Arabidopsis thaliana: one gene and its partners. The protein of the gene in region 4 interacts with the protein of the main gene of each other region in a pairwise test. Each region holds a gene or a part of one and is shown on either strand. Other genes may lie near its edges. The genes, in order: AT1G04650, RAD54, BRCA2B and RAD51.

Evidence for each region.
Region 1: the proteins of RAD51 (region 4) and AT1G04650 interact in a two-hybrid assay, tested with the Arabidopsis thaliana proteins (one study listed by BioGRID).
Region 2: the proteins of RAD51 (region 4) and RAD54 interact in binary tests that used the Arabidopsis thaliana proteins (3 or more experiments, as listed by UniProt).
Region 3: the proteins of RAD51 (region 4) and BRCA2B interact in binary tests that used the Arabidopsis thaliana proteins (3 or more experiments, as listed by UniProt).

What each region holds. Positions count from the first base shown.
Region 1 is NC_003070.9:1,294,119-1,301,021, reverse strand, and holds AT1G04650 (holliday junction resolvase), read left to right. Parts: upstream 1-1,998; 5' UTR 1,999-2,118; coding exon 2,119-2,166; intron 2,167-2,458; coding exon 2,459-2,551; intron 2,552-2,765; coding exon 2,766-2,900; intron 2,901-2,938; exon of another isoform or gene 2,939-2,987; coding exon 2,988-3,077; intron 3,078-3,166; coding exon 3,167-3,316; intron 3,317-3,486; coding exon 3,487-5,081; intron 5,082-5,246; coding exon 5,247-6,129; 3' UTR 6,130-6,395; downstream 6,396-6,903. Other genes in the region: AT1G04660 (glycine-rich protein), read left to right, coding at 1-354; AT1G04645 (Plant self-incompatibility protein S1 family), read left to right, coding at 6,783-6,903.
Region 2 is NC_003074.8:6,652,958-6,660,827, forward strand, and holds the start of RAD54 (DNA repair/recombination protein), read right to left. Parts: upstream 6,007-7,870; 5' UTR 5,920-6,006; coding exon 5,738-5,919; intron 5,495-5,737; coding exon 5,123-5,494; intron 4,844-5,122; coding exon 4,757-4,843; intron 4,664-4,756; coding exon 4,423-4,663; intron 4,355-4,422; coding exon 4,229-4,354; intron 4,138-4,228; coding exon 4,081-4,137; intron 3,986-4,080; coding exon 3,899-3,985; intron 3,504-3,898; coding exon 3,408-3,503; intron 3,209-3,407; coding exon 3,158-3,208; intron 2,884-3,157; coding exon 2,809-2,883; intron 2,756-2,808; coding exon of another isoform or gene 2,725-2,755; coding exon 2,638-2,724; intron 2,427-2,637; coding exon 2,335-2,426; intron 2,270-2,334; coding exon 2,137-2,269; intron 1,660-2,136; coding exon 1,540-1,659; intron 1,467-1,539; coding exon 1,353-1,466; intron 1,254-1,352; coding exon 1,170-1,253; intron 1,076-1,169; coding exon 998-1,075; intron 911-997; coding exon 852-910; intron 705-851; coding exon 521-704; and 6 more. Other genes in the region: SCO2 (protein disulfide isomerase), read left to right, coding at 6,250-6,615, 7,142-7,268, 7,461-7,531. UniProt on the Arabidopsis thaliana protein: Dissociates RAD51 from nucleoprotein filaments formed on dsDNA. Could be involved in the turnover of RAD51 protein-dsDNA filaments. Addition of RAD54 overcomes inhibition of DNA strand exchange by RAD51 bound to substrate dsDNA.
Region 3 is NC_003076.8:235,097-242,918, reverse strand, and holds the start of BRCA2B (BRCA2-like B), read left to right. Parts: upstream 1-1,812; 5' UTR 1,813-2,007; coding exon 2,008-2,161; intron 2,162-2,247; coding exon 2,248-2,391; intron 2,392-2,526; coding exon 2,527-2,688; intron 2,689-2,932; coding exon 2,933-3,919; intron 3,920-4,011; coding exon 4,012-4,136; intron 4,137-4,223; coding exon 4,224-4,378; intron 4,379-4,539; coding exon 4,540-4,662; intron 4,663-4,734; coding exon 4,735-4,920; intron 4,921-4,994; coding exon 4,995-5,076; intron 5,077-5,175; coding exon 5,176-5,226; intron 5,227-5,312; coding exon 5,313-5,394; intron 5,395-5,493; coding exon 5,494-5,605; intron 5,606-5,688; coding exon 5,689-5,760; intron 5,761-6,058; coding exon 6,059-6,257; intron 6,258-6,325; coding exon 6,326-6,508; intron 6,509-6,794; coding exon 6,795-6,937; intron 6,938-7,010; coding exon 7,011-7,073; intron 7,074-7,162; coding exon 7,163-7,367; intron 7,368-7,470; coding exon 7,471-7,644; intron 7,645-7,736; and 2 more. Other genes in the region: PRA1.B5 (prenylated RAB acceptor 1.B5), read left to right, coding at 806-1,477. UniProt on the Arabidopsis thaliana protein: Involved in double-strand break repair and/or homologous recombination by mediating RAD51- and DMC1-facilitated DNA repair. Plays an essential role in both somatic and meiotic homologous recombination.
Region 4 is NC_003076.8:7,069,966-7,074,713, reverse strand, and holds RAD51 (RAS associated with diabetes protein 51), read left to right. Parts: upstream 1-1,747; 5' UTR 1,748-1,853; coding exon 1,854-1,949; intron 1,950-2,353; coding exon 2,354-2,498; intron 2,499-2,608; coding exon 2,609-2,719; intron 2,720-2,793; coding exon 2,794-2,885; intron 2,886-3,016; coding exon 3,017-3,111; intron 3,112-3,196; coding exon 3,197-3,310; intron 3,311-3,398; coding exon 3,399-3,528; intron 3,529-3,615; coding exon 3,616-3,737; coding exon of another isoform or gene 3,738-3,801; exon of another isoform or gene 3,802-3,832; coding exon 3,833-3,956; 3' UTR 3,957-4,223; downstream 4,224-4,748. UniProt on the Arabidopsis thaliana protein: Binds to single and double-stranded DNA and exhibits DNA-dependent ATPase activity. Unwinds duplex DNA. Component of the meiotic recombination pathway.

The DNA of each region.
Region 1 (6,903 bases), on a different chromosome or scaffold from region 4:
GGTAAGTATGGTGGCATAGGCGGTGCAGCTGGAATCGGTGGATTTCATAGTATAGGCGGTGTTGGCGGTCTAGGCGGTGTCGGAGGAGGTGTTGGCGGTCTAGGCGGTGTTGGAGGGGGTGTTGGTGGTCTAGGTGGCGTTGGCGGTCTAGGTGGAGCTGGTTTAGGCGGTGTAGGTGGTGTTGGCGGTGGTATTGGTAAAGCCGGTGGTATTGGCGGTTTAGGTGGTCTAGGCGGAGCCGGAGGTGGTTTAGGTGGAGTTGGTGGTCTCGGTAAGGCTGGTGGTATTGGTGTTGGTGGTGGTATCGGTGGTGGACACGGCGTGGTCGGTGGTGTGATCGATCCACATCCTTAATAGAGAGTATTTGTTGGTTAGGGTTTTAATTAAGGAATAATTAATTAGTTTCGATGTTATTGTTGGTCTTTTAATTCTGTGATCATTAGGGTGACTTTTGATCTATTTTCTAGTTTGGGCTTTTGTAACGTTTGCTTTGATTTCGGCCGTGGTGTTATGAAATGTGCGACTCTCTATGTTTGAATCGTTTTGGTTTAGGAGGTTCTCTTCTTCCATACTTTTGCATGTTCAAAGACAAATTTTTAATTAAGAGGAATTATCAAGGTTTCCGACGAGATATTTTTTGAAAATGAAATTGGTTTGAACTTGTAATGATATTTAAAATATGAAAACATCACTCAAAAATGGATGGAGTACAAACTTTTTCCACTATATATACATTACATGTAAAAAGTGTATAGATTTCGTTTTTGTTGCACTGTCTAACTCTAAATAAGTCGGATATCAAAGTTAGTATATAGTAAAAAAAAAAAAAAGTTAGTATATATATCCAAGTGGTAAAACCCGTAAAATTAACATATATATATATATATATATATATATATATATGAGTTTGGTCAAGGGTTTTGAAAGATCTCGACTAAGAGAAGACATATGAGTTTTGGTTCAAAAAGTCCTTCGATAATCATTAGAAACGAATTAATATATAGTAAAATTGAGTAAAAATGTTAATCTATTAACCAAAGGTTAACTATATAGAAGATTAATATATTATAAAACTAACCAAAACATTGGATATTGGTATATCCGGATTATTTTCCTCGTTGATGATCGCAATATTGCATTCAGCCATCTACTACACACTTCCTCGTTGATGATCACAATAATGCATTCAGCCATCTACTACACACTGACACATATGATTCGTAATTTCGTATGAAATGTTTGAACTCATACTTTTAATTTACATATTTAAGATGGACGTAACAATGAACATTTGTTCAGAACTTGAGATTGTACTACCCCTATAAATAACGCCTATTTACTAATTACTATGCATGGTTCATCATGGTTGGAAATTTCTTTGCAAATGATCTAGTGTATATTAATCCAAAATATATAGGAAAAATACATTAATTGTGGGAGGAAGACAGCAAGAATCCACAAAAAGGAAGCACTAATAAATGACGTAATAATTGCGTTGGGATGAGAGGGACACAAATTAAAGAAGATAGGATTTGCATGTCAAACACTTGTTGTCCCATTTCATGCATCGTCCTCTCTATTGTCTATTTCGCTGTCACAACCTCTAAATTTACATCTCATGCAATTTATTACGACGTATACATACACCCTTCAAATTTTTATTCGTTTGCATTTGTATATATATACATATATATTAGCTAGTAAAATTAATCACAATTTATAATTTTGTAATCATTAAAAATATTGTAGTAAAAAAAGCAAAACCCAAAAAAAATAGAAAAGAAAACTGAACTGGTTGGTGTTTGTGGTATTTTTTTTAATAATTTTGTTAAGGATTTGATATGGGTTTCAATTTTAATGGTGGACCGAATTGAAAATCATCGAGTGAAAATTGAGCTACTTACAAAGCCCAATTAGATCCAACGGGCCTCAAAATATCTTTTATATTCCATTTTTTTTAATTTGTTTTTGTTTAATAAATCAAAAATTGAAAAGCGAAAGGCAGAGAAAATTTCCAATATAGGCGAAATGTAAAGAGCGGGAAGCTAAAGCCTAGAGAGAGATTCTCACACTGCCAAAACAAAATTTCCCTGTAGAGAGAGAGAGAAAGAGTGAGTGATGGAGAAGAATGCGATGAAGTTACTCGAAGAGATCAAATCTTCTGATGTAAGCTTCTCTTTGATTTCCACCTTTGATTTGATTTTCTAGGTTTCTGTATATTTTTTCCAACTAAAATCTTCTGGTGGATTTTATCGCTTCCGGTAGTCATTTCTACGAATCCTCTCTGTTAAATCGAGAAATTTCTTCTGATTGCTTTGGGTTTTGTGATGTTTCTTATCAATTTCCCTTCCGATTAAGTTTCTGCAGCTTAATGTATATATAGAGTGATTAGGATTCAGTTGAGTTCTGTAGCTCATGGATCTAACGAGCTTCGTTTTCTTCATTGTTCGCTCAACAGCTTATCGAGAATCGGGCTCAATTACTCACGCGGCTCAGTCAGTTAGATGTTGAAGAGAATTCTGATTTGCCTTCTTTTGTGGAGAGCCTAACTGTATCCCCAGTCTTTTCATCAGTTTTGCTGATTTTCAATATCTTCAGTTATACTATGTTTAAAATTGAGATGTGGATATCCATTATGTGACGGTTGGATTCAGGATAATGAAGTGACGAACTTATATCTGCTTATTTGCATGTTTCACTTGGATTCATATATGCTTTAAGTGGTTTGTTTGTTTGTTTCCAAGTATTCCTTGACAGCTGTATAGACACTCTGGGAAGATTTCACATGTCTTGACGTTTCCCTGTGTTTGTTGAACAAGGCGATTCTGCCTGTGGCTTCAAAATACCTCGCTTTGGATCGGCCTGATTGCTCACACTACTTTCTTGCTTTTGCTATTAAGGTACAATGTTTTCATTTTTATTGCTTACTGCTCAACCTCAATTTTGGAGGGGTGTTGTATTATCTTTTCTTATTCCACTTCTTCTAGGTAAGCCAATGGTGTGCCAAACATTTAAACATGTCTGTTATGTCCATGGAGGAGTCTCAAGAGGAAGAGCATTCCAACATTTTCTTTCAGGTTATTTGATGCTTTTTGGTTCTGGAAGTAGGATTCTGTCGCAGCTTATGGTTTCGAAGGGACTGAGTTATTCAATCAATGTTATGCAGCTTCTTTTGGATTATCTTCGTTTTTCTGCCTCAAGCTTTACTGCTATTGGAAAAACTTGTTTCATGACTGATGATGCCTCAGCTGTTACAGTTCATAAGTTTGTTTCAGAGCAGCTCAATTTGACAAAGGAGTTGATAATGAATTCCAAGGTATCTTTGAAAATCATCTTTATCTTTCGCTAGTAACTACACGTACCATATCATGAAACATTTTTAACATTTGTTTTGTTGAAATTACTACTGTAGGTTGAGAATCAACTTGAGATTATTGTTTTGCCTTGTTGTCATCTGTTAATAACTTTCACCTTTCTATGAGACAGAAAGTCGAATCCTTTTCCTCGGAGATTTTTAAGGCTGTGCAAGTGGTAATTGATTCTACTGTTCGTCTGTGCAAAGAATACTCTCAAACAGTGAATCGTGAGGTAAGTGAAATGAAGACGAGTGGACATGTAGGAAAGGCAAGGATGGAGGAAGGCAACGCTGTGGGTAATTTGGTGAGCATGATTACGCTGGGAGTTAAATCTCTGAGTGAATTGGGTATGCTTGCTGCAAGAGATGGTGGAAATCTTGTGGCCATTCTTAATACATCTTGGAAGGGTGTGATTACATTGCTTCAACTAGACAAGCAGACATTGGTATCTAAGGTAGATGTAGGAGAAATTATCTTAAAGCTAATATCACTGATCAAGGACTCCCTGAGATTTGCTGCTGAGGCTTGGTCTTGCTCGGTGAAGGAAAACATATCTGCAACGGAAGCCAGAAGGGTCTTTCTTCCTGTGAAATTTTATCTTATCAATGCTGTTAAAGTTGTGGCGCTGTTTCCAAGCCAGGCGTCTATGGTGTCCAAGGATATAGCACTATGCATCTTGATGATCTCTGCTTTCAAAGTTTCACTGAGCCAACAAACTCATGGAAAATCCGCAAGTGAAGTAATGACTGATCTTCTGGAGAAAACAACTGTAGATCTTCTAGGTGCACTGTTAAATGCAGCTGAACTAACACAGGAATTCAGGCTCACACTTCTTGATTCATTGTTCGTTGATGAATTCTCAAACCAAATCTGTAAGAAGCAGAGCCATGATTCTCACACAAAAACATCATTGGTGGATATCTTGTCTTTATCTGTTGAATCTGCGACAAGTGCTAGAGATTTGCTCCTGGCCCGAGTTGTATTGTTCCAGTCTGTCATGAGGTATTCTTTCGAGCTTGACAAAGATGCAAAGCTTGCAATCACCACAAAGCTGCAATGGCTTCTCGACATATTAGCAGACAAAGAGGTTTACTCTTCAGTTCTTTCCTCTCAGCTACCAATGGCAGATGGTTCTGGGAAGATAGTAATCTGGGAATCAATGTATTCAGCTCTGCTTCTGTCTCTCAAAACCCTTATGATCATACTCTCTTCAACTCCTGCCTGGGAAGAGCTTGAAACATTCCTACTTCAGAATCTCTTGCATCCTCACTTCTTGTGTTGGCAGATAGTCATGGAACTCTGGTGCTTCTGGGTTCGTCATGCCACTGACGATTTGGTGGTCGATATGATTAATCAACTTTGTACATTCATTATGTCAATGCCATCATCAGAAACACCTCTTTGTCCAGATTCCGTTCTCAGAAGAACTACAAAGTCCATCTGCTTTCTTCTTACCCATAGCCCCAAATCTTTAACAGTTCAAGTTTACAAACATATTTCTACTGAGAGCAGATCTGACCATGCACCTGATGTATATCTAGCATTGCTGTTAGACGGGTTTCCACTGAATTTTCTTCCAGACAGAATAAAAAACGACGCAAAGAGACAGATATTTGCAGATTTCTTCAACTTCATCGAGAAATTCGATGAGAAACCGTCAAATTCCTCCAGATACACTCTGCTTGGAGCTCCAGTTTTCACAGTATCTGCTTGCCTTCGGATACTGTAAGTAATGATAATATATCTATTCTTGAGACTTCTCTGGGGATTTTATTACACGAGATAGCAAAAGTCAGATAATAGTAACTGAAAATAGTGTGAGCGAAAGGGTACATTTTCAATTTTTGTGTTGTGGATATTATTGACTGTTGTTGTTTTTCTTCCGTGTAGAAAGATGAGCATATCAGAGATTGATGCCAAAACTCTGAACTTTGTCGTCGCTCTCATTCAAAAGTACAGAAACTCCAAAGATGAAACGACGAAGGAACGTTACAGTGAGATTCTCAGCGAAACATTATCTATCATCTCAAGAAGCGAACAGCTATACACTTGCCAAGAGATGGATAATGTCATAACAGAGCTTCAAAAGCTATTCAATTCAGAAACTAATCATCATCATAATCATCTTCGTAAGTCCAAGCCAAACCTTGCTCTCTTCTTGTCAGGACTCAGCAAATACGAGATGTCTGAAACCAAAAAGTGTCCAAAGAGCATTGCGGTTTGGGAACTCTACCATATGCTTCTCAGGAAACGCCACTGGGCTTTGGTACACCACGCGGTTACTGCGTTTGGATACTTCTGTGCACGTACAAGCTGTAATCAGCTATGGAGATTCGTACCTGAAGACGCGGCTCTAGCCTTCGATATAGCTTCTGGAAAAGAAGCGAAAACAGAGCGGTTCATGTCGGAATTAAAGATGTTTTTGGAGAAAGAACAAGCGCTTCTTTCAATCACACCTTCAGAAGAAGAACTGGAGTTACTTTCGAAAGAAGGCACCGAGGTTAAGGCAACAGTGCAGAAGCTTCTAGAAGGAAGAAGCCAGAGGTCAATGGAAGTAGAGAAACGACCGAACAAGAAAAGGAAACTTCCAGAAGGAATTTGCAGAGGAATGGAGTTATTGCAGAATGGAGTGAAGAGGATTAACGAGGGTTTAAACGAATTGAGGTCAGATGAAAATGAGAGTGAAGAGTTTCAAAAGAGTTTATCGAATCAGTTTTCGTGTCTTGAAGATTTGGTCTCTCATTTGTTAAGCCTCACCGCAGCTTCGGACTAAAGTATCTTCAGTGGCTATCTATCACACACTGTTAAAAGACTTTTATGCTAACAGATGTTTGGGATTAAAGATGTTCTTTAAGAAAGAACAAAGCGCTTCTCTCAAATACACTTTCACAAGAGGAACTTGACAAACTTTCCTCTTATAACATGATAAAAAGTTGAAATAGTAGCGGATTTACCTCTTACCACCGAAATTTTTGAACAAACGAGGTTAAGTTGTCGACAACGGACTATAAGATTTTTGGGGCCAAAGGCTTAATTATTTTCTCAAGGTAACATTAAAATATTTTAAAAACATTATTGTAAAAATATTAATAAAATTGGGACTTCTTTGTAATATATTTTGCTTAATTTCATCAGAAAATGTGGGGCCAAAGCCCATGTTTTTTTGGACGATCAATTTCGCATAATCCATTAAGATTTAATATTATTATTTTATTTTTTTTGTCTGGGTCAAAACCACACTAAATTCTCATTTTACTGATTTGGATGTTTGTTTGGTCACATGACTTTTACACTGATTTCTTTGTTTGTTTGGTCAATAGTCAATGGGATAGTTACTATGTGAAGAAACCGTCGAGCCCTTGGAATACTATAAAATCAACTCCAAGAGCAACCTGAAAAGCCACATTCATAAATACAAACATCAAAATGGAAAAAGTTTCTATTGTTTGCTTCTTCTTCTTTCTTTTATTTGGTTCGGGTTATGGGGGCCTCCCACCGTTCTGGCGCGCTACGGTTGTCACGATGACAAACTTGATTGGCGGTCCAC
Region 2 (7,870 bases), on a different chromosome or scaffold from region 4:
TTCCCGAGGTCTTTGTTGTGGTTTGTTAAAGGCACGCTTATTTACAGGTTGGTTCCGATTGTGCTCTTCGGACTCCACCGTTTTTGGACTGACATTTGATTCGATGGGAACGAGCTTCCCATCTACCTGGTTTGTGAAAACAAACGTCACCTGCAATGTTTTTAATAAACCATGAAAATAGTTATCATAAAGTTATTGGCTTTTCGAAAAATCTGACATAAGATGTAGAGTTTATGATTATAAGATTGAAAAAACTTGGAGACAACTCACCTCGTCACCTGCTGAAGCTTGCAGTATAGCATCTGGAACGGATTTTGAGGTAAAGTGATGACCCCAGCTTCCTAGATCTTCTTCCAATGGAGTGCCCACCTAAGAATATTCATGGGAAAAAAACTTTGTAGATGAATCGGATGTAAAAAGACATGAGCAGAGTTTGTAACTAACAATGGAATTGATGAAGAAATAGCTCAAAACAGACTTATATTTAATGCAGGACTCAGTAACAAGCACAAGAAGGGACCTGTCTCTCAGAGTTTTTTAACAAGTTAAAGCATCCTGCATCTTTTGCAAATCCGCCTATGTCTTCTTGGTCAATCTGGCAAGCATTGTCATCTACATTGTTCTCATTCCCTTCTTCGATATTCTCAGTACCAGAGGCATCATTTTGGCACCTGCTGCAGCTCATCTTTTCATGGATTTCAGACCTAGCCACATTACCAGAAAAGAGGCTTTGAGATAAACCATTTGAATGTGTATCATCTTGAGGTACAAAATCTGTCCCCAAAAGTGGATAGAGAAACGATGTTCTGAGTGGGCATAAAACATTCCCTGATTTCAGAAGAAACACATACCTAACATCCCCATGGAAGGAAAATAAATCTCGTAGATCCTCTGTAGAAAGTAAGTTCCCCTGGAAAATCAAAGATGTTGTGGTTGATATTCAATAATTAGACACAAAATGACTAATAGATGAAGCATATAACATTCCAGCAAGAACCTGTCTCGTGCTGTTATCCGTCTGTTCATGCTGAATAACTTTTTGAAGCCCTTCTTTTGACATCTGGCGCTGGTAAACCTACCAATGTACCACAAGAAAACAAATATGAATCTGAGGTAAGCAAACTCCCCCAAGGAAACTTGAGTAACAAGTTCGGCTAGTTATGCAGTACCTTTTCTTCAATAGTTCCAGTACTAAGAAACCTGTAGACATATACTCTTTTCTTTTGCCCATCCCTCCAAACTCTAGCAGCAGCCTGTTTTGACAGCGAAATAATGCATGTACAGCACAATCGATCATCTTTTATCAATATAAAGTTGAAACATATCTAAGGGGAAATTAGGATGGTAATTACTTGTTTATCATTGGCAGGATTCCAATCAGGATCGAACAAAACAAGTCGATTAGCACCAATTAAATTTAATCCACAGCCACCCGCCTTGCTGCTTAAGAGAAATGCAAACTCATCCTACCAAAACCAAAAGTCAAACCAGGTGTCTACTCAGGTTCGAAACAACGGCATAAATAGATAAGTCATGTACCTTTGTTGGGTCGTTCAACCGGTTAACAAGCTTCTGCCTCTTGCTGATTGTTGTTGATCCATCCAGCCTCAGAAAAGGATATCTTCTTTCACGACAGAGTTGAGCAAAAAGATCCAATGTCTAGTGCAAAAGGTGCAGGCTATGATTATTGTATACTCAGGCTGGTTTTAAATTGCTATATATATGCAACACACCATCATGTCATTTTATGCAATCAAACAACATGCAGAGTTCACTTCTTGATATTTGTTAGAAAGCGTTGCCTTTTGAATACATATAGACAAATCAGGGTAACGATTTTCTTAGCTTCTCCGATATCACATGCAAAAGTTCCAAAAATATGATGGCTCATAAAACTCAGGACAGCATAACACATAGCTTATGACTAATTCAAAATTCAAAAGAGATTGCAACATCCATAATTGAAATTTAGGACAGTAGTAACATCACTAATGACGACCAGCAGCTGAATCTATTCAAAATCCATGTGGAGGCATTTCATACTTCATTCTCTATGACCAATATTATGCACTGTCCCTTTCAAATAAATATAAAAGTAACTTTATATCCAACTCGAATTGACATTTTCCAGCATACCTGTGTGTAGTTTGATACAAGGACTATGCGGTCATCAGTTTTTCGACGTAGGTTGGCCAAAAGTCTGGAGAGAACATGCATTTTCCCAGAGAGCTCGACCCAGGCACCATCACCCCCTGTCCATGCTCCAGATCTGAAAGGATAGTTCCATTTAGATCCCAACTAGTGACAACATGCAAACATGCAATAGAAGCCTACCTCCCAGAGAACATTTCTGCAGGGAAGAACTCTAAGCAATTCTCAAACCCAACAGTTCCAGGATTGCCGCTTTTTATTGTGTCGTAGATTAGCTACACAGAAAAGAATAGGGCTATCATTAAGCATACATGGGGAATGATGAAAAAGGTTTTGACGATCAAATAGATCAAAGACCACTAAAATTTATGAAACTAGCGTCTTAATATCAGAACTTGATAATAGCGCCGTAAGATGTTACAAAGATGACTCAGAAGAAAATATTGGAAAAACTTAAACGCAAATGGATGAGGCTATGAGTTTTACCTTTGGATGATTGCAGAGCTTCTTAAGAGCTGTTATATAAGCCAAAACTTTGGTTTGTTTTGCATTATCAGCAAGCGCCCTTTTAAGCTGCATGCAGAGGCACCCATTATATGTAGTTCTAACTTCAATATTTTACGAAACATAACAAGAATGACTGTGATCAATGCTTACATTTTTCGAGCTAATAAAATGGTTGTACAAAGTGGACTGGAGAGTAGTCATCTTGCAACAAACTACTTCAATTATCTGTGAAACATCCAACAACAAGATTTTGATGTATTTCTGGCTTCAAAATAAAGAAAGCGGCAACGGGAAAAACTTGTAGCTAAAAAAAGAGATGACACTTTCACAAAGATGTTCATTCTATCCGCACTTTCAGCATATGATTATATCACTGCTAAAACTCCAGGTATTACTCAATATGACGAAACAGTTCAACATATAAAGAAGTAGTAAAGGCTCTACTGAAACAGAATTTTAATGCATTGTAAGCCTGCGGCAGATACAGAAGGAAAAGCACCTTAGGTGGTAGGTGATTTGAGAGCAATGCATTGGTTCTCCTCAAAATAAACTGTAAAAAAATGAAAGCTTAATAAGGTATAGCAGTTAAATTAAGCAACAATTCTAAAAGGTCAGTAGCGATGCTCTTTATTGATCATCATACCAAAATCATCTAAGCAAATTGCATATCTTTTAAGAGATATATCCAGATGATGATGAAAGCTTAATAATAGTCAAATATTTAGATATAAAATGCTAAGAAGAATCACCTGGTTGACTTTTGAACTCAGTTCTGCGGAGCGGTCAGCAGCTAAGTTTTTCTCTTCCTCAGTGGCTGTAGGTTCTCTTCCACATATAATAGGTGCCTTAGGTTTCATACATCAAAACAAGGATGCATCAAAAGAAGGTAATGCAAGAAACATAAACAACCTATAGTCAATTGAACTGAAATTGTATGACACAGATAACAGCGTAAACAAATTCTCTCAGCACAGACTATTTTTAAAGAAGCTTACAATGTAATGGAATCCAAAGGCATGAAGCAGCAATACTGGAAACGAACAGAATATATATAGTAGCAAAGTATACACTACAAAATAACTTGGGCTAATCCTAACTTTTAGCCAAGAATAGCCTAGAAGAAATGATCTTTAACATATTTAGAGATGACAGAATAGCCTACAAGAATTTATCTTTAACATATTTATAGATGACAGAATACAGAATGATCAAATTGGCATCAAAATTCAAAGTTTGTCACCTCATAATAATGGCGAAAGTGTGCAGCATCACCTAAACTCCCTGGATTTGTGAAGTTGACCATGGCAAAAAACTCTTCCAAGTCATTCTGGAACATTCAGATGCAAAAAAACATAGAGTGAAAGCTTAGTGTTAAATGTCAGGAGAAATTTAATAGAGATAATCACTGGAATTTTCCATTACCTGCATGGGAGTTCCAGACAACAAAACTCGACGTTTGCATGTCAATGAAGCCAAAGCCTGTAGTCAAATATGATGATAACCAATATTAGAAAGAAAAAAAATGTATCAACCTGGAAGGATACGAAATAAGTATGTATTTGCATCCTACCCTGTTTGTAAGTGTCTGGTCATTTTTCAACCTATGAGCCTCATCGCATATTAGAAGATCACAGGATTCACTCTGGCAGAACTTGGATGAGTGCATTCGGAATGTCTCGTAAGAAATGATAAGTACCTGTTAACGTTAGTTAGGTGATAAGTGCAATTCTCAGAGAGTCAGCAAAAAAATATGCACAGCTATACCTGCAAAGCGCTTCTTGGTCGAGTGAAACTATCTATTCCAGACAAAACATCATCTCTGGTGCTCTCACAGAGGGCTATAAGCTGAATCCTGTCTCCAACCCATTTCTTAATTTCAGCTTCCCAGTTACTGACAAGACTCGTTGGTGTAACAATAATGGCCTTTTTAACCATAGGCGTCCCATCAAATCCTTGACAAAGAAGTGTGTATAGTAAAGTAATGGACTGTAATGTCTTCCCTAAACTGCCAAATCAATTTAGAAGGAAATAAGAAAATTACATAGGAAACAAAAAAAGTCCAGATCCAATTTTACATAACGGACAAGATAGATTTTACCCCATGTCATCAGCCAGAATGCAACCATTTATATTTGCCGAACCATGTAATCCTGAAACACAATCGAACATGAACTGGACACCCTCTCTGCAGTCTCAGAAAAACCACCTCACCATGTAAGTAAAGTTGTATAAACATCTTCGATGCCAACTAGAGATAATTTTATACTCATTGGCCTGTTGTATTCACCAGCAGTTCACTGAGGGTTATATGATTTTAAACGAAGAGCACATTTTGACGTGGTTCAACAAGTAAACTATGAATGCCTTAAGAATTTTTAAGATCACAGCACAGATTGGAATCAAGTTTTGAGATCCTTAAAAAAAACTCTGTACACGATGTCAATTCTTAGATAGAAATGAATACCTTTGATGAGGGCGAAGAAATTTGACAAGCACTGAATGCACCATGATAGTTGTTACATTGCTCATTCCATCTTCTTCAGATTGCCACAATACCAAAGGTTCAATATCAGGTGGTAGACAAACAACTTCCTCTTCTTCATCTCTCTCAATATTGGTTGATGCTTCCAGCTTAGTAGGTAAAGCAACCACAACCGGAGTTGAGGAACCCCAAGGAACAAACCGTTTTCGAGCTGAAAGGCGACGAGAAAGTTGTCCTGTGGAATCATAACCATGAGAACACGGAGGTTTGAAAGGCTTCCTACAAACTGCCGCTCCATCTGACACCGAAAGCACCCGAGGAAGGAGTGGCTGCCGTTGCACAACTAGATTGCCCCTGTCAACCGTGCATAAGTATCAATTCCATTTCCATAAAACAATGGAATACGCGTTTGATACAGCTTCAGAGACTATTCACAATCATCAATTTGAACAAGAGAACACTAAATCTCCTTTAAAATCCCTAAATTCGAACCACTAAAACTCCAAATGATATGTAGCAGCAAGCGAACGAAGCATCTATCAGGTTTAGGGTTCAGCTTCAATTTCAAATTGAAATCTAGGAAATTCAATTACGCACCTCAGAAGATCCTTTACGTTCTTAGATTTCCGATCTGCGTCGGATGAAAGAGAAACCACCGCAAGGTCTTCGCACTCAGGGTTATCGTTTTCTCCTTCAGAATCTTGAGAATCATCCTTGTAACTATCGCTGGAATCGTCGCAATCGGAAGACGATAAGATCTCTTCATCTTCTTCCTCCATTTTCGTTACACCTACGAGCCCAGAGCTCCGCTTTTGACCAATCCTAAAACTCTTTTGGCGGCAAGAAATAAAACCAAAAACAAAAACAAAGAAAAACCAAATTATTTGAAATAAAATAACCTTATCAGAAAAGGACTAAAATATCCTTCAGAGTATATGGGACGCTACAATTTTTCCTAACAGTTAGTTTCATGAAGATTGTAAATTTGTAATTTTCCCCAAGTTTTTAAGTATTTACACACAAAAACAAAAATATCCGAATTTTTTTAATTCGTCGAGGTTGATTACTTCACCCAATTTCATGGCCGCACCTGCAAACTTCTCGTCTCAATGTTCCGATTATACCCTAATTGCTCTCTGCCTTCTCACAGACCTCTCGTTTTCCTTCCTCGTCTTCCTTCTCGCTCCCTCCGTTGCCGCGCCGCCGCTGATATTCCCCTTGGTGACGGAATCCGATTACCTCGAGAAGCGGATTCAACCTCTGACACGGCGAGGTCTCGGGATGTTTCCGTCGCCGCCGGTGGGAATGGTGAAGGTGCTAAGTGGAGGAAGAGGAGGTTGCTCTGGTCGAAAAGTGGAGAGAGTTACTTGGTAGATGATGGCGACGCGCTTCCTCTTCCTATGACTTATCCTGATACATCCCCTGTGTCGCCGGATGTGATTGACCGGAGGTTGCAATGTGATCCTGTAGTCGAGGTTTTTTGCTTTGCTTCAACTTTCATTTACTAATTTTGATGATTGAATAAGACTCAACATACTTGCACTTAATTTAGATGAACATTTTAATTGCTTTAGCTGACGATTGGCTGTTTGATTTGCTCTATAGTTTAATCTTCGAACCAATCAATATGCACAAATATATGAGTTGATCTTGTAGCTTGACGAATGACATTAAGTTTAATTGGTCTTTCTTATGGAGCGATAAGCTTAGATTCTGGAAGGTGAATGATGTTTCTGAAATGTGAAACTCAACAATGGACTTATTTTATAAAAGCATGTGTGTCAAAAACATGAAAAATATAGATGCAAGCTCTTGTCGATATAAGATAGGAATTAAATTTTGACATGAATTATCCTTTTTCGGAAAGATTTGCTCCGAGTTACTCTTCACCCCAGTTTTGGGTGTGTTTAGGCAATATTTTCTTTTTGATGCAGTATTTGCTTTAGAATGCCTTTTTGGGATTGTTTTTTCTGATCACAATATAACCCGACCAATTTTTAGGATTGCCGGGAAGTGGTTTATGAATGGACTGGAAAGTGTAGAAGTTGCCAAGGATCTGGAACTGTCAGCTATTACAAGAAAAGGGGTAAAGAGGTTATATGCAAATGCATACCCTGCCAAGGGATAGGTAAGTTTCTGAGTGTGGCTCTTTTTCCATGTTTTTCCTATGATAGTTTTAAGATTCTAGAGTATCTATGAGTTGGTTTCTTGATTGGTATTTGTGAAAAAGTAAACAAAGCCACACTTTCTGAGTTTTGCAGTTTGGTTTAGATTTAGTGTTTTACATGCAATTGACTTAAGAAGTTTAAACTAATTGCAGGATATGTGCAGAAGATAACATCTCGGACGGACATTGAAGTGATGGAAGATTTGGATAATGAACCATCTTGACCTTGAATATGGCCCATTTTTGCATGTAAGCTTGGGTTCGTTATTGAAGTGTATCCGTTGCACGTACAAAACTATAACCAGAAGAGAGATAAGTGCTTCTTTGGGATGTTTGGCCCAAACAAGCTGATCGGAGGTATAGACAAAAACTACTGATTCTTGCTCAGATAATGGCTTCTTCTTTCACCAATAGTCCCCATATAGGCAATTTCTGTTTTATATGTATCAGACCTCGAGACACCACGAACTGCAGGAATTGTTTGTGTTTTTAGGCTGTTTCAGTCTGACTTATGTACATCAAGAGAAAAGATAGCTGTAACACGATCCATTTAATTATCTTTG
Region 3 (7,822 bases), 6.8 Mb from region 4:
ACTGTTGAGTTATTTAGGAGATTCGTTCAACTTCTCTAAATCCGTTGTCTAACTGGCTTAGAGGGTCATCCATCATCTGGAGTGTTTATGCCTATAACCACCTGATATATCAATTATACATTTCTTTTCTCGTGTGGTTCTTCTTGCAGGGATCCTTCTTTGGTTGGAACGGGGCGACTCTTTAATTCCGTGGTAGGTGATTAGTGTGATTGTCTTGAAATGTATGATCTACTCTCATCGATCAAGTAACTTTGAACTACTTCGTATTGTAAACATATCTAAGGTTTGATGGAGTTGCATTAAGAAATAACATTTATGCTATATATGATGCTACAACTTACTATCAGGGTAAACAATGGTTATTTAGTCTTTGTCTACTCGTTAGATATAATTATGTTTAGAATTCGAAGATGAATGTTATCAAAGAAAAAAGGATTTGACATTGTCAAGTCTACTACTCCATATGACAGATCAACATTGTGTTAAAAATATTTTCTATTAGGGAAACTTCCTGTGACTGGAACATTAATGGTCAAATGCACTTTGCCTAAGTAATCAAGAATTATTGTATAAACTACGTTAAGCAAAAAAATAACCTGAGTTATAATATCAGGAGGTTATTTTTATTTTTATTTTAGCAAATGAATATAGATTAGCTATCAGATGAAGCAAGGTGTATAATCAAAGTTGAAAGACGCGTAATTGTGATCCTATATATACATAACACTACCGCAACTTCAGCAACCTCTAAATCATTCGTCTCCTAAAATTTTCCAATCTCAAAATCCCAAAAGAACAAAATCGAATGGTGTCAACAAATCCCCCTGTTCTTCCAATTTCCACCACCGCAACAGACACCACCAATCAGCCTCCGATTGTAACCGCTGTGGTGGAATCGCAACCTCCAGTCGTCCGTGCATTTGTCAACGGTGTGACCGAGACGGTCTGTGGTGGTCTATCTCGTAGCCGTCCGTGGTCAGAGCTCCTCGATCGATCCGCTTTCACAAAGCCTGACTCTCTCTCCGAGGCCGGGACGCGATTCCGGAAAAATTCCTCTTATTTCAGGGTGAATTACGTTTGCATTGTCGCTCTGATCCTTGGTTTCTCTCTTCTCGCCCACCCATTCTCTCTCATCCTCCTCCTATGTCTCGCCGCTTCCTGGCTCTTCCTCTACCTCTTCCGTCCATCAGATCGTCCTCTTATCCTCTTCGGCCGATCTTTCTCCGAATACGAAACTCTCGGTGGCCTAATCCTCTCCACGATCGCAGTGATCTTCTTCACAAGCGTCGGATCTGTATTGATATCCGCTCTCATGATCGGAATAGCAACAATCTGTGTCCATGGCGCCTTTAGAGCTCCCGATGATCTCTTCCTCGACGAACAAGATCATGCCGCCTCCGGATTCCTCTCATTCATCGGTGTTCCCGCGATCCCCTCTGTAGCACCCTCTGCCTCCTCAGCGGCTTCCCCCGTGTAAATTATAGTTCTCAGAATCTGGCGTGTTTAGAGATTTGAAGGTGGAGATTGTTGCAATGTAATTTTCTGTGATACTTGACCATTGTTGCAATGTAATTTTCATTGAAGTCAGTCACCAATCACATTGAACAGATGTTTTAAAATGTCCACGTAAGCAATTATTGTTTGGAACGATTTCGGGTTAGCATTCGTGCCGTTAGTTACCGCAATAAAAGGCCGTGGCAATATCACACTTGTCTTGGAACGCTATGTCCGTAAAAACCAAGCCCAAAGTTAAAATAAAACCACGCGTCTCATAATTTCGGCCCAAATCTTTTTCAACTTTCCCGCCTTTGTCAGAACTTTTAACTTTTTGGATTTTTGGTGATGATTTTGGTTTGGGGAAAGAAAATAAAACAATAAAAATAAAAATTCCGCACTCCCGACTCCTCCCTCTTGGCGTGGTAGGCAATTCTGAATCGCGAGGTTTAGTTCTCCGGCTGAATCATATAACGACGAATCGGAAAACTTGGAAACCCTAGAACTGAATAAATGTCGACGTGGCATTTATTTTCCGATTCCAGCGGCGATGGTTTCCGGTGGGAAGTCGCTGGCCGGATTCTTCAGTCCGTCTCGGATTCTACGCCAACCAAGGCGCTCGAATCGACAGCTCCTCTACCTTCCATGGCCGATCTCTTGCTCCAAGGTGATTCTTCGTATCTTCCTTTTCTTTGTCGAATCGTGTTTGTCATGTGACTCAAAGGAGATTGAATTATTATTTGATGCTTCAAGGATGCTCGAAGCTTATAGAACGGGAAGAATCGATGCCTGGGGAAATCCCAATGTTCAGGACTGGGCTGGGGAAGTCTGTAGTTCTTAAAGAGTCTTCGATTGCTAAAGCCAAATCCATTTTAGCAGAGAATGTTGCTTATTCAGGTATTTTATGTGACAGTATTGAATTCCCTTGACTAGTCATTTGTTTCTGAATTCGCTTGAATTGTTACTTAATGTTGGTGAATATGTGTTCCTGAAAATCTTTTGAATGTTCCATGTTCTTGGCTACACTTTTAGATTTGCAGAACACAAATTGCTCAATTCCCCAAACGAGACAAGTGGATACAGCTGAAACTATGCCAATGTTCAGGACGGCCTTGGGGAAAACTGTCCCTTTGAAAGAGTCTTCAATTGCCAAACCTTTGTCTATTCTAGGAAGTGATATGATAATTGACTCAGGTGTGTTCTTATCTCCTCTTTTTTTAAGTCTTATATCCAGCTGTGTGCGCATTTACATATGAACTTGTTGTTTGTGCTGCTACTCCGTTCAACTTCCAGGTTTCTTGAGTTTGGTTGTTATCAGATAAAACGATGAATAGTGAAGAACTAATCAACACACATCTTACTTCGTTTAGAGAATAAATATTAGAAGTGACATTTTTTCATAGTTTATTTGTTAATAAGATTCTTTTTGATTGTGTAGACAACGTTCTTCCCAGGGAGAGTGGGTTTGGTGTTCCCAACAGTCTTTTTCAGACAGCTTCCAACAAAAAGGTTAATGTATCTTCTGCCGGTTTAGCAAGAGCCAAGGCATTGTTAGGACTAGAAGAAGATGATTTGAATGGATTTAACCATGTGAACCAGTCGTCTTCTTCCCTCCAGCAACATGGGTGGTCCGGTTTAAAAACTCATGAGGAGTTTGATGCTACAGTGGTTAAGCATCATTCAGGAACTCCAGGACAATATGAGAATTATGTATCTGGGAAGAGATCTGAAATCTTAAATCCATCGTTAAAGGTGCCTCCAACAAAGTTTCAGACTGCTGGTGGAAAATCATTGTCAGTGTCAGCTGAGGCGTTGAAACGTGCCAGAAACCTTCTTGGTGACCCTGAGTTAGGGTCTTTCTTTGATGATGTAGCTGGAGGTGATCAATTTTTTACACCACAGAAAGATGAAAGGCTAAGTGATATTGCTATAAACAATGGAAGTGTCAACACAGGTTATATTGCTCATGAAGAAAAGACAAGCAACAAACATACGTCAAATAGTTTTGTATCTCCTCTTCATTCATCTTCAAAGCAATTTAGATCAGTTAACTTGGAGAACCTAGCTTCAGGGGGTAATTTGATCAAGAAATTTGATACGGCTGTTGATGAGACCAATTGTGCTCTGAATATCAGTAAACCTGCTACACATGGACTATCAAATAACAGGCCTTTAGCATCAGATATGGCAGTGAATAATTCCAAGGGAAACGGTTTCATTCCAAGAGCTAGGCAACTTGGAAGGCCTGCTGATCAGCCACTTGTTGATATAACAAATCGCAGAGATACAGCTTATGCAAACAATAAACAAGACAGTACCCAAAAGAAAAGGCTGGGAAAGACAGTCTCCGTTTCTCCTTTCAAAAGGCCAAGGATTTCATCCTTTAAAACTCCTTTAAAGAAAAATGCTCAGCAAGCTTCAAGTGGTAATATATACGATTAATTTTAATTTTAATTTTTTGTTAATCTAATTGGTTGGTTCTCAGATTTATAATTTTGGTGTCCTGTCTATTATCAGGTTTGTCTGTTGTATCGTGTGATACACTTACTTCCAAAAAGGTACTTTCTACAAGATATCCAGAAAAGTCTCCAAGAGTATATATCAAGGAGTTTTTTGGAATGCATCCGACAGCTACGACCAGGGTAAAATCTTTTTGTCCCTTTCACCTGTTCCTGCGTTACATAAATTTTTTCTTCATTCACTCAAACACATTTACGAGGTGGTTTTAGATGGATTATGTGCCAGACCATGTCAGAAGAATCAAATCAAGTAATGCAGATAAATATGTATTCTGTGATGAGTCTTCTTCAAACAAGGTTGGAGCTGAAACTTTTCTTCAAATGTTGGCTGAGTCGGGTGCTTCCTTACAACATGCATCCAGAAAGTACTTTCTCTGTCCCTTGAAATGTTAACCGTGTTATATGTTTATTATATCAGAAAAAGTGTGTGACTGTTCGTTTGAAGCTTGCATGTGATTGTCACTCTATTAGATAGACAGTTTGATGTCTATATCTATTAACTTATCTATCACTACATATGCACTAGGTGGGTTACTAATCACTACAGGTGGATAGTCTGGAAACTTGCATGCTACGACATATACTACCCAGCCAAATGCAGAGGAAACTTTCTAACAATCACCAATGTTCTTGAGGAACTAAAATACAGGTTTCCCAGTCTCACAACACAACTCGTTACTTAAACTCATGCAAAGTCTAACATGGTTAATCTTCTTAATAGATATGAGAGAGAGGTCAATCATGGTCATTGCTCTGCAATCAAGAGGATTCTGAGTGGTGATGCTCCAGCTTCTTCAATGATGGTCCTCTGCATATCAGCTATTAATCCAAGGACCGATAATGGTTCTCAGGAAGCACATTGTTCTGATAATTGCAGCAATGTGAAAGTCGAACTCACTGATGGGTGGTATGAAATTGCTACTGCTGTTCTGTTACCTGTTTTCTTGTCTCATTTCCATAGGATTTTTTTTTAAATCACAGGTACTCGATGAATGCTGCTCTGGATGTCGTGCTAACCAAGCAGCTGAATGCTGGCAAATTGTTTGTGGGGCAGAAGCTTCGAGTAAGTTATATTCATGCAAGATATACTTTGTTTTGCAACACAGATTTTGGTTAGATCACTGACTTGCAGCATGCTTACGTTCTTATCTCTTATCTGAAGATCCTCGGGGCAGGACTTTCTGGCTGGGCTACCCCAACATCACCACTTGAGGTTTCCTAGACTTTGCATTTTATAAGATTTTCTGATATCTTCTCAGGTTGGTTTGTTCTTAGAGTTTCGTTCAACCAAACTTTCAGGCAGTGATTTCAAGTACAATCTGTTTGTTGTTGAATATTAATGGGACATACAGAGCTCACTGGGCGGACCGACTAGGCTTCTGTAAGTAGCTTTATGCTGTGGACCTCACTACATCATCTGAGTTCTTATTGCTTTCATATTATTATCTTTCTATTGATCGTTCTTAATCTCTTCCTCAAGGTAAAGAAATTGGTGTCCCTCTGGCTTTCAACTGTATCAAGTGCAATGGGGGTCCAGTGCCTAAAACGCTAGCTGGCATCACACGAATATACCCCATCCTATACAAGGAAAGGTCAATATAAATGTGTGCCTGTTAATGCACTTTGGTCTTCCTTATACTTCTCGCAAAGCATTATATTTTCTTGATGTATACAGGTTAGGTGAAAAGAAGTCAATAGTTCGATCAGAGAGAATAGAAAGTAGAATTATACAGCTGCATAATCAGAGGCAAGTTTCCTTATAACTGTAGAGTAGCAATTTTTAGTAACATTTATGTGATCAATTTAGCACATCACTTTCTAAGAAGTGTCAGATTAACTCATCAAAGCTAGAGACATTTGTTACATACACCAATATTAGGGTTCTAAGTAGTTTTTGGGACAGACAAAGAATCTTTGTATTTATTAGAAAAGCTTCTGGCCTTCTGAATATGGATGGTTTTGCCAACAGAAGAGCCAAAGATTGCAGTTCCTCATGGTTTATTCTCATTCGTACTTTTCTTTCTTTCTTTTTCTATTTTCCGTAGGCGCTCAGCTCTTGTTGAGGGTATTATGTGTGAGTACCAGAGAGGAATTAATGGTGTTCACAGCCAAAACGATACTGACAGCGAAGAAGGAGCCAAGGTCTTTAAGCTGTTAGAGACGGCTGCTGAACCTGAACTTCTTATGGCTGAAATGAGCCTAGAGCAGTTGACATCTTTCACTACATATAAAGCAAAATTTGAGGTAGAATAGTAATTCCCTTTTCTTGATATATTGATTACAGTAATTAACTGCTTCAATCTGAACCTCAGGCAGCCAAGCAAATGCAGATGGAAAAATCAGTGGCAAAAGCTCTGGAAGACGCTGGTTTAGGTGAAAGGAACGTCACCCCATTCATGAGGATTAGGCTTGTTGGCCTGACGAGCTTAAGTAATGAAGGAGAGCACAATCCAAAAGAAGGCATTGTAACAATCTGGGATCCCACGGAGAGACAGGTACATTCAAATGCCTAAATCTGAATGTTTCATGCACAATTTAAAAGAAGGCATTTTTCTAATGGCTTATAAGTTTACACGAACCTTATCCATATGAGCTTATATGGAACGGGGAGTTCCAAATATAAGCTCGTCAGAGTTGCTGTGGACCTCGAATGGACTGAAATGCATATCAAAAAATCGTTACCATCACTGTACTGTTGCATTAAGAGCATCATCGATTAGCTTGTTCAACTTTTTTCTTGTAGATTCTTAAAACAGTTATCATTGTCTACTACTGTGACAGAGAACCGAGCTGACGGAGGGGAAAATATACATAATGAAAGGGCTAGTACCAATGAACTCAGATTCAGAAACACTTTACTTACATGCCAGAGGGTCAAGCTCAAGATGGCAGCCTTTGTCTCCAAAAGATTCTGAAAATTTTCAGTAAGTGGTTTTCTTTAGTAGACACTGGAATCTATCTCATTAATTTGTTCAATTTCCCTGATGATGTTTTCAGGCCTTTTTTCAACCCTCGTAAACCAATCTCTTTGTCAAATCTTGGTGAAATTCCTCTGTCAAGGTTAATCTCAGTAGTCCAAGCTTTTTATAAAACACTATTTACCGCACTTTGCTAATCTATACTCTATCATCTCTAATTATGTCCTTCAGTGAATTTGATATCGCTGCGTACGTTGTATATGTTGGAGATGCATACACAGATGTTCTACAAAAGAAGCAGTGGGTGTTTGTGACAGATGGATCCACACAACATTCAGGGGAAATCTCAAACAGTCTTCTTGCTATAAGCTTCAGCACCCCATTCATGGATGATAGCTCTGTTTCCCACATCAGCCATAATTTGGTTGGATCCGTGGTATGTACAAATTCTAATATTTGTCTAGTTTTACACTGAGAGAATATGCACCGAGAAATTATTGTTTGAAAAATATATGCTTTGTGGGCTTAATTTTTGGCAGGTCGGATTTTGCAATCTAATTAAAAGAGCAAAGGATGCGACAAACGAAATGTGGGTTGCTGAGACAACAGAGAACTCAGTCTACTTCATAAACGCAGAAGCTGCCTACTCTTCTCACCTTAAAACCCGCAGTGCCCATATCCAAACATGGGCTAAGCTCTATTCTTCCAAATCCGTTCGTTCTCGTCGACTTCCTCTTTCTATAAGTATTCGGTTCAAAAAGATTGTTCTATTGTATTAAGCCTTCTTGGTTTGCTCAATTTTCAGGTCATCCATGAACTTCGGCAAAGAGTCCTATTTATAATCGGTGCTTGTAAATCACCTTCATGCTGAAGATAAATCATACACCACCT
Region 4 (4,748 bases):
CATTTAGCGTCAAGTAGTTGGCTAATCTTATATTTCAAGGTTTTAGCTAGCAATTTTTCATCCTGAATAAAACAAATTTTGACCAGTTTTTATATATAATTCTTTAGCAACTGAATTTTTTTTTTAAAAAAAAATTCATGGTTTAATTTGTTTGTGAATATTTTTTTTAAAATAATTTATGTGATTTCTAAATAAGTAAACAATTGACTTAAATATATTAGATTTCTTAGCAAGAAAAAATTGATGAAATAAATAATTTATAATTTTGAACTTATTAAATCAATAAAGGTCCATAGCTCAGTGGTAGAGCAATTGACTGCAGATCAATAGGTCACCGGTTTGAACCTGGTTGGGCCCTATATTTTTTCAATTTACCAATAATTTTTTAGAAGAGCTTTAGTTATATATTTGATTAGCATTTAGCATCAAGTAGTTGACTAATCTTATATTTCAACGTTTTAGCTAGCAATTTTTCATCTTGAATAAAACAAATTTTGATCAGTTTTTGTATATAATTCTTTAGTAACTGAATTTTTTTTAAAAAAAATTCATGGTTTAATTTGTTTGTGAATTTTGTTTTTTAAATAATTTATGTGATTTCTAAATAAGTAAACAATTGACTTAACTATATTAGATTTCTTAGCAAAAAAAAATTGATGAAATAAATAATTTACAATTTTGAACTTATTAAATCAATAAGGGTCCATAGCTCAGTGATAGAGCAATTGACTGCAGATCAATAGGTCACCGGTTCGAACCCGGTTGGGCCCTATATGTTTTCAGTTTACCAATAATTTTTTATAAGAGTTTTAGTTATATATTTGATTAGCATTTAGCGTCAAGTAGTTCACTAATCTTATATTTCAAGGTTTTAGCTAGCAATTTTTCATCTTGAATAAAACAAATTTTGACCTGTTTTTGCATATAATTCTTTAACAACTGAAATTTTTTTAAAAAACTTTCATGGTTTAATTTGTTTGTGAATTTTTTTTTATAAATAATTTATGTGATTTCTAAATAAGTAAACAATTGACTTAACTATATTAGATTTCTTAGCAAAAAATAATTCATGAAATACATAGTTTATAATTTTGAACTTATTAAATCAATAAGGGTTCATAGCTCAGTGGTAGAGCAATTGACTGCAGATCAATAGGTCACCGGTTCGAACCCGGTTGGGCCCTATATGTTTTAGTTTACCAAAAAAAATTAAATATCATCTTGAATAAAGAAAATTGACAAATTTTGTGATATTTGTAATATTTTATTTTTGTTATAATAAGTGATTACTACATTGTTGGAATTGTGGTGGTTCTCGGCGGTCAAACACCTAGGTACCATTTGGTTGACATTCAAACACCTAGGTATCACTCGGCGGTCAAACACCTATTGTTTTTACAAAACGTTAATTTAGTGTTTTAAAAATATATAATTTTAAGTAAAAATAATTTAAAATAAAAAAATAATTTTGAGAATCCATAATTCGATCAACTTTGATAATATCTAACATTTATAATTTCATGCATTTAACTGAAAATTTAAAATTACTATGGTACTTAATTAATAATAAAAATGAGGAGGATTTTGTTGTTGTTTTTGAGTATTTTATAGAATAAGAATTTGGGCTTTAATAGCCTTTAAAGCCCAATATGATCAAGGCCGAGGAAAAGCTGACCCAAACGTAATCGAGACTTGTTGAAGAAGCCTTTGCCCTCATCGTCGTCTTGTATAATAATTTTGGTTGTGGCGCTTCTTTCAATTTGTTTTCAGTTTCGCCATTTCCCTCCACTCTCAAGCTCTCTTTTGCTTCTCTCGCTTTCTCTGGTGACCCGAATCTGCTCTGATTGAGAGAAATGACGACGATGGAGCAGCGTAGAAACCAGAATGCTGTCCAACAACAAGACGATGAAGAAACCCAGCACGGACCTTTCCCTGTCGAACAGCTTCAGGTTCAATTTCTGCAGATTTCTTTCATTTGTTGTGGAAATTTACCTTCGCAGTCTATACGCTTCATCAGATCTTGCGCTAATTGAAATGGGTTCGGCTTTAATTCACTAAAAATTTCTGCTTTTTTTGTACATCGCGATGTGAAATAGGTGTGAATCTGGGCGAGAATTGAGTTTCGCTACTGTCTGTTAGGCGAATTGGTTTTAGGGGTTCGTTTAATTCAGAAAAAAATCGACACTTTTTGGGGGTTTTATCCTTTTCTGGGGAACTTCTCTATTGCTGTGACTCCAGTGTCATATAATCTCTATAGTTCTTCTCAATTCGTGTTCATAAAAGGGAGATGCATCAGTGTGTTTTGTGTTATGATTATATGCTATTTCATCTCTTTAAATCTTCAAAACTTCAGGCAGCAGGTATTGCTTCTGTTGATGTAAAGAAGCTTAGGGATGCTGGTCTCTGTACTGTTGAAGGTGTTGCTTATACTCCGAGGAAGGATCTCTTGCAGATTAAAGGAATTAGTGATGCCAAGGTTGACAAGATTGTAGAAGCAGGTATTACACATGTAGAAACTTTTTGCTTTCCTTCTCTGTTAAATACATAACACCTCTTTGATACTCTTAGAGTTAATGTGTGTTCTTATTTGTGTTTTCTTCTGTGATAGCTTCAAAGCTAGTTCCTCTGGGGTTCACTAGTGCGAGCCAGCTCCATGCTCAGAGACAGGAAATTATTCAGATTACCTCTGGATCACGGGAGCTCGATAAAGTTCTAGAAGGTTGGTGCTGGTTTCTGGTGCATCTTATAACGGCATTTTGTTATTGTGATCTTACTTTGCCGTATGCTCAACAGGAGGTATTGAAACTGGTTCCATCACAGAGTTATATGGTGAGTTCCGCTCTGGAAAGACTCAGCTGTGCCATACACTGTGTGTGACTTGTCAAGTAAGAACCCTGTTCCTATACCACTCAGTTATTGTTGCTTATCTAGCAGAAATCAGTGATCTTGTCTTTCTTCTTACAATTTCCAAACCTGAGAAAGATATTCACATTAAGGTTCACGTTTGAATGATTAGCTTCCCATGGATCAAGGAGGTGGAGAGGGAAAGGCCATGTACATTGATGCTGAGGGAACATTCAGGCCACAAAGACTCTTACAGATAGCTGACAGGTATGTTATTCTTGTAACACACATGAGATCACAATAGCGTTCTTGAGACGGAATCATCTGTAAGAAATCAAATGAAATGATGCAGGTTTGGATTAAATGGAGCTGATGTACTAGAAAACGTTGCCTATGCGAGGGCGTATAATACAGATCATCAGTCAAGGCTTTTGCTTGAAGCAGCATCAATGATGATTGAAACAAGGTGTGTTGAGTTTATTTTGGTGTTCAGTTCCGTTATGTCTATCATGAGAGTGCTAACTTTTAAAGTTACGATGACCCTATTGGCACAGGTTTGCTCTCCTGATTGTCGATAGTGCTACCGCTCTCTACAGAACAGATTTCTCTGGAAGGGGAGAGCTTTCGGCTCGACAAATGCATCTTGCAAAGTTCTTGAGAAGTCTTCAGAAGTTAGCAGATGAGGTGAACATTCAGTACTAACTGTTTCTTTTCCAATATTGCTCTGAGACACCATCCTGAAGTATTCTCTCTTATGTTTAATGGCTCTAGTTTGGTGTGGCTGTTGTTATAACAAACCAAGTAGTTGCGCAAGTAGATGGTTCAGCTCTTTTTGCTGGTCCCCAATTTAAGCCGATTGGTGGGAATATCATGGCTCATGCCACCACAACAAGGTCTGTAATGTTTGCAAATTCGACAAATCCATGTTTCTTAGTGTTTTTTGTTAGGGTTCGTTAGGAAAGTGTGTTTGTTATGATAATTGATACAGGTTGGCGTTGAGGAAAGGAAGAGCAGAGGAGAGAATCTGTAAAGTGATAAGCTCGCCATGTTTGCCAGAAGCGGAAGCTCGATTTCAAATATCTACAGAAGGTGTAACAGATTGCAAGGATTGATGTTTTTGGCCACAACAATGCCTTGCTTCTCTCTGCCTTATGTGCTTTTTTTTAGCAACCCCTTCACTTGTATTGATGTCAAAAAACCGTTTTCTTTTGTTTTTGTTTTTAACTGTTGATCATAGTGTAAGCGTACAAGTAAGTGATGATGGAGCAAAAGAGCTTTGTAAGTAAAGTTTTTCGGGTAATGAACCTTTTGTGTTTCACAAACGCACACAGCCTCGTGGTTTATACAACACTACTAAATTTTAACCCACGGTATACCGCGGAGACAATTTATTTTTTAAAGTTACTATATATAAAAGTTTGCAAATTATATTTATCGTAAAAATATTTTTATTTTATAGTTTACGATTGTTATTAAGTAACGTCCCGCCAATCCGTCCCGTAAAAAAAACTCACTGATTTTATTTATGATATGTTTATGAATCATTGTCTAAATATTTTTTAATTTTGTAGTAATTAAATGCTATCTAATATCTCTGCGGTTTGATGATTATAATCGAATTATTATAGTCATGTAGAAAAACAATATCAAAATGATAATTTTGTAGTAATTAAATGATATTAAATATTTCGGAAGTTTTATTTTAATAACTAATCGTGTAGTTAATGTGAAGAGATTTTGGGAAGATTGTCAAATATTTAATTCAAAGATTTTCTTTCTAATTATCAAAAACAATTATTAAATGCCAGTGGCAGCCACTGTAAATAAATTCCAACTCTAGGATTTATTTCACAAAGTGGCTGCAAAAATGTATATATAGATATATTACTTAGTGAACAATCAAA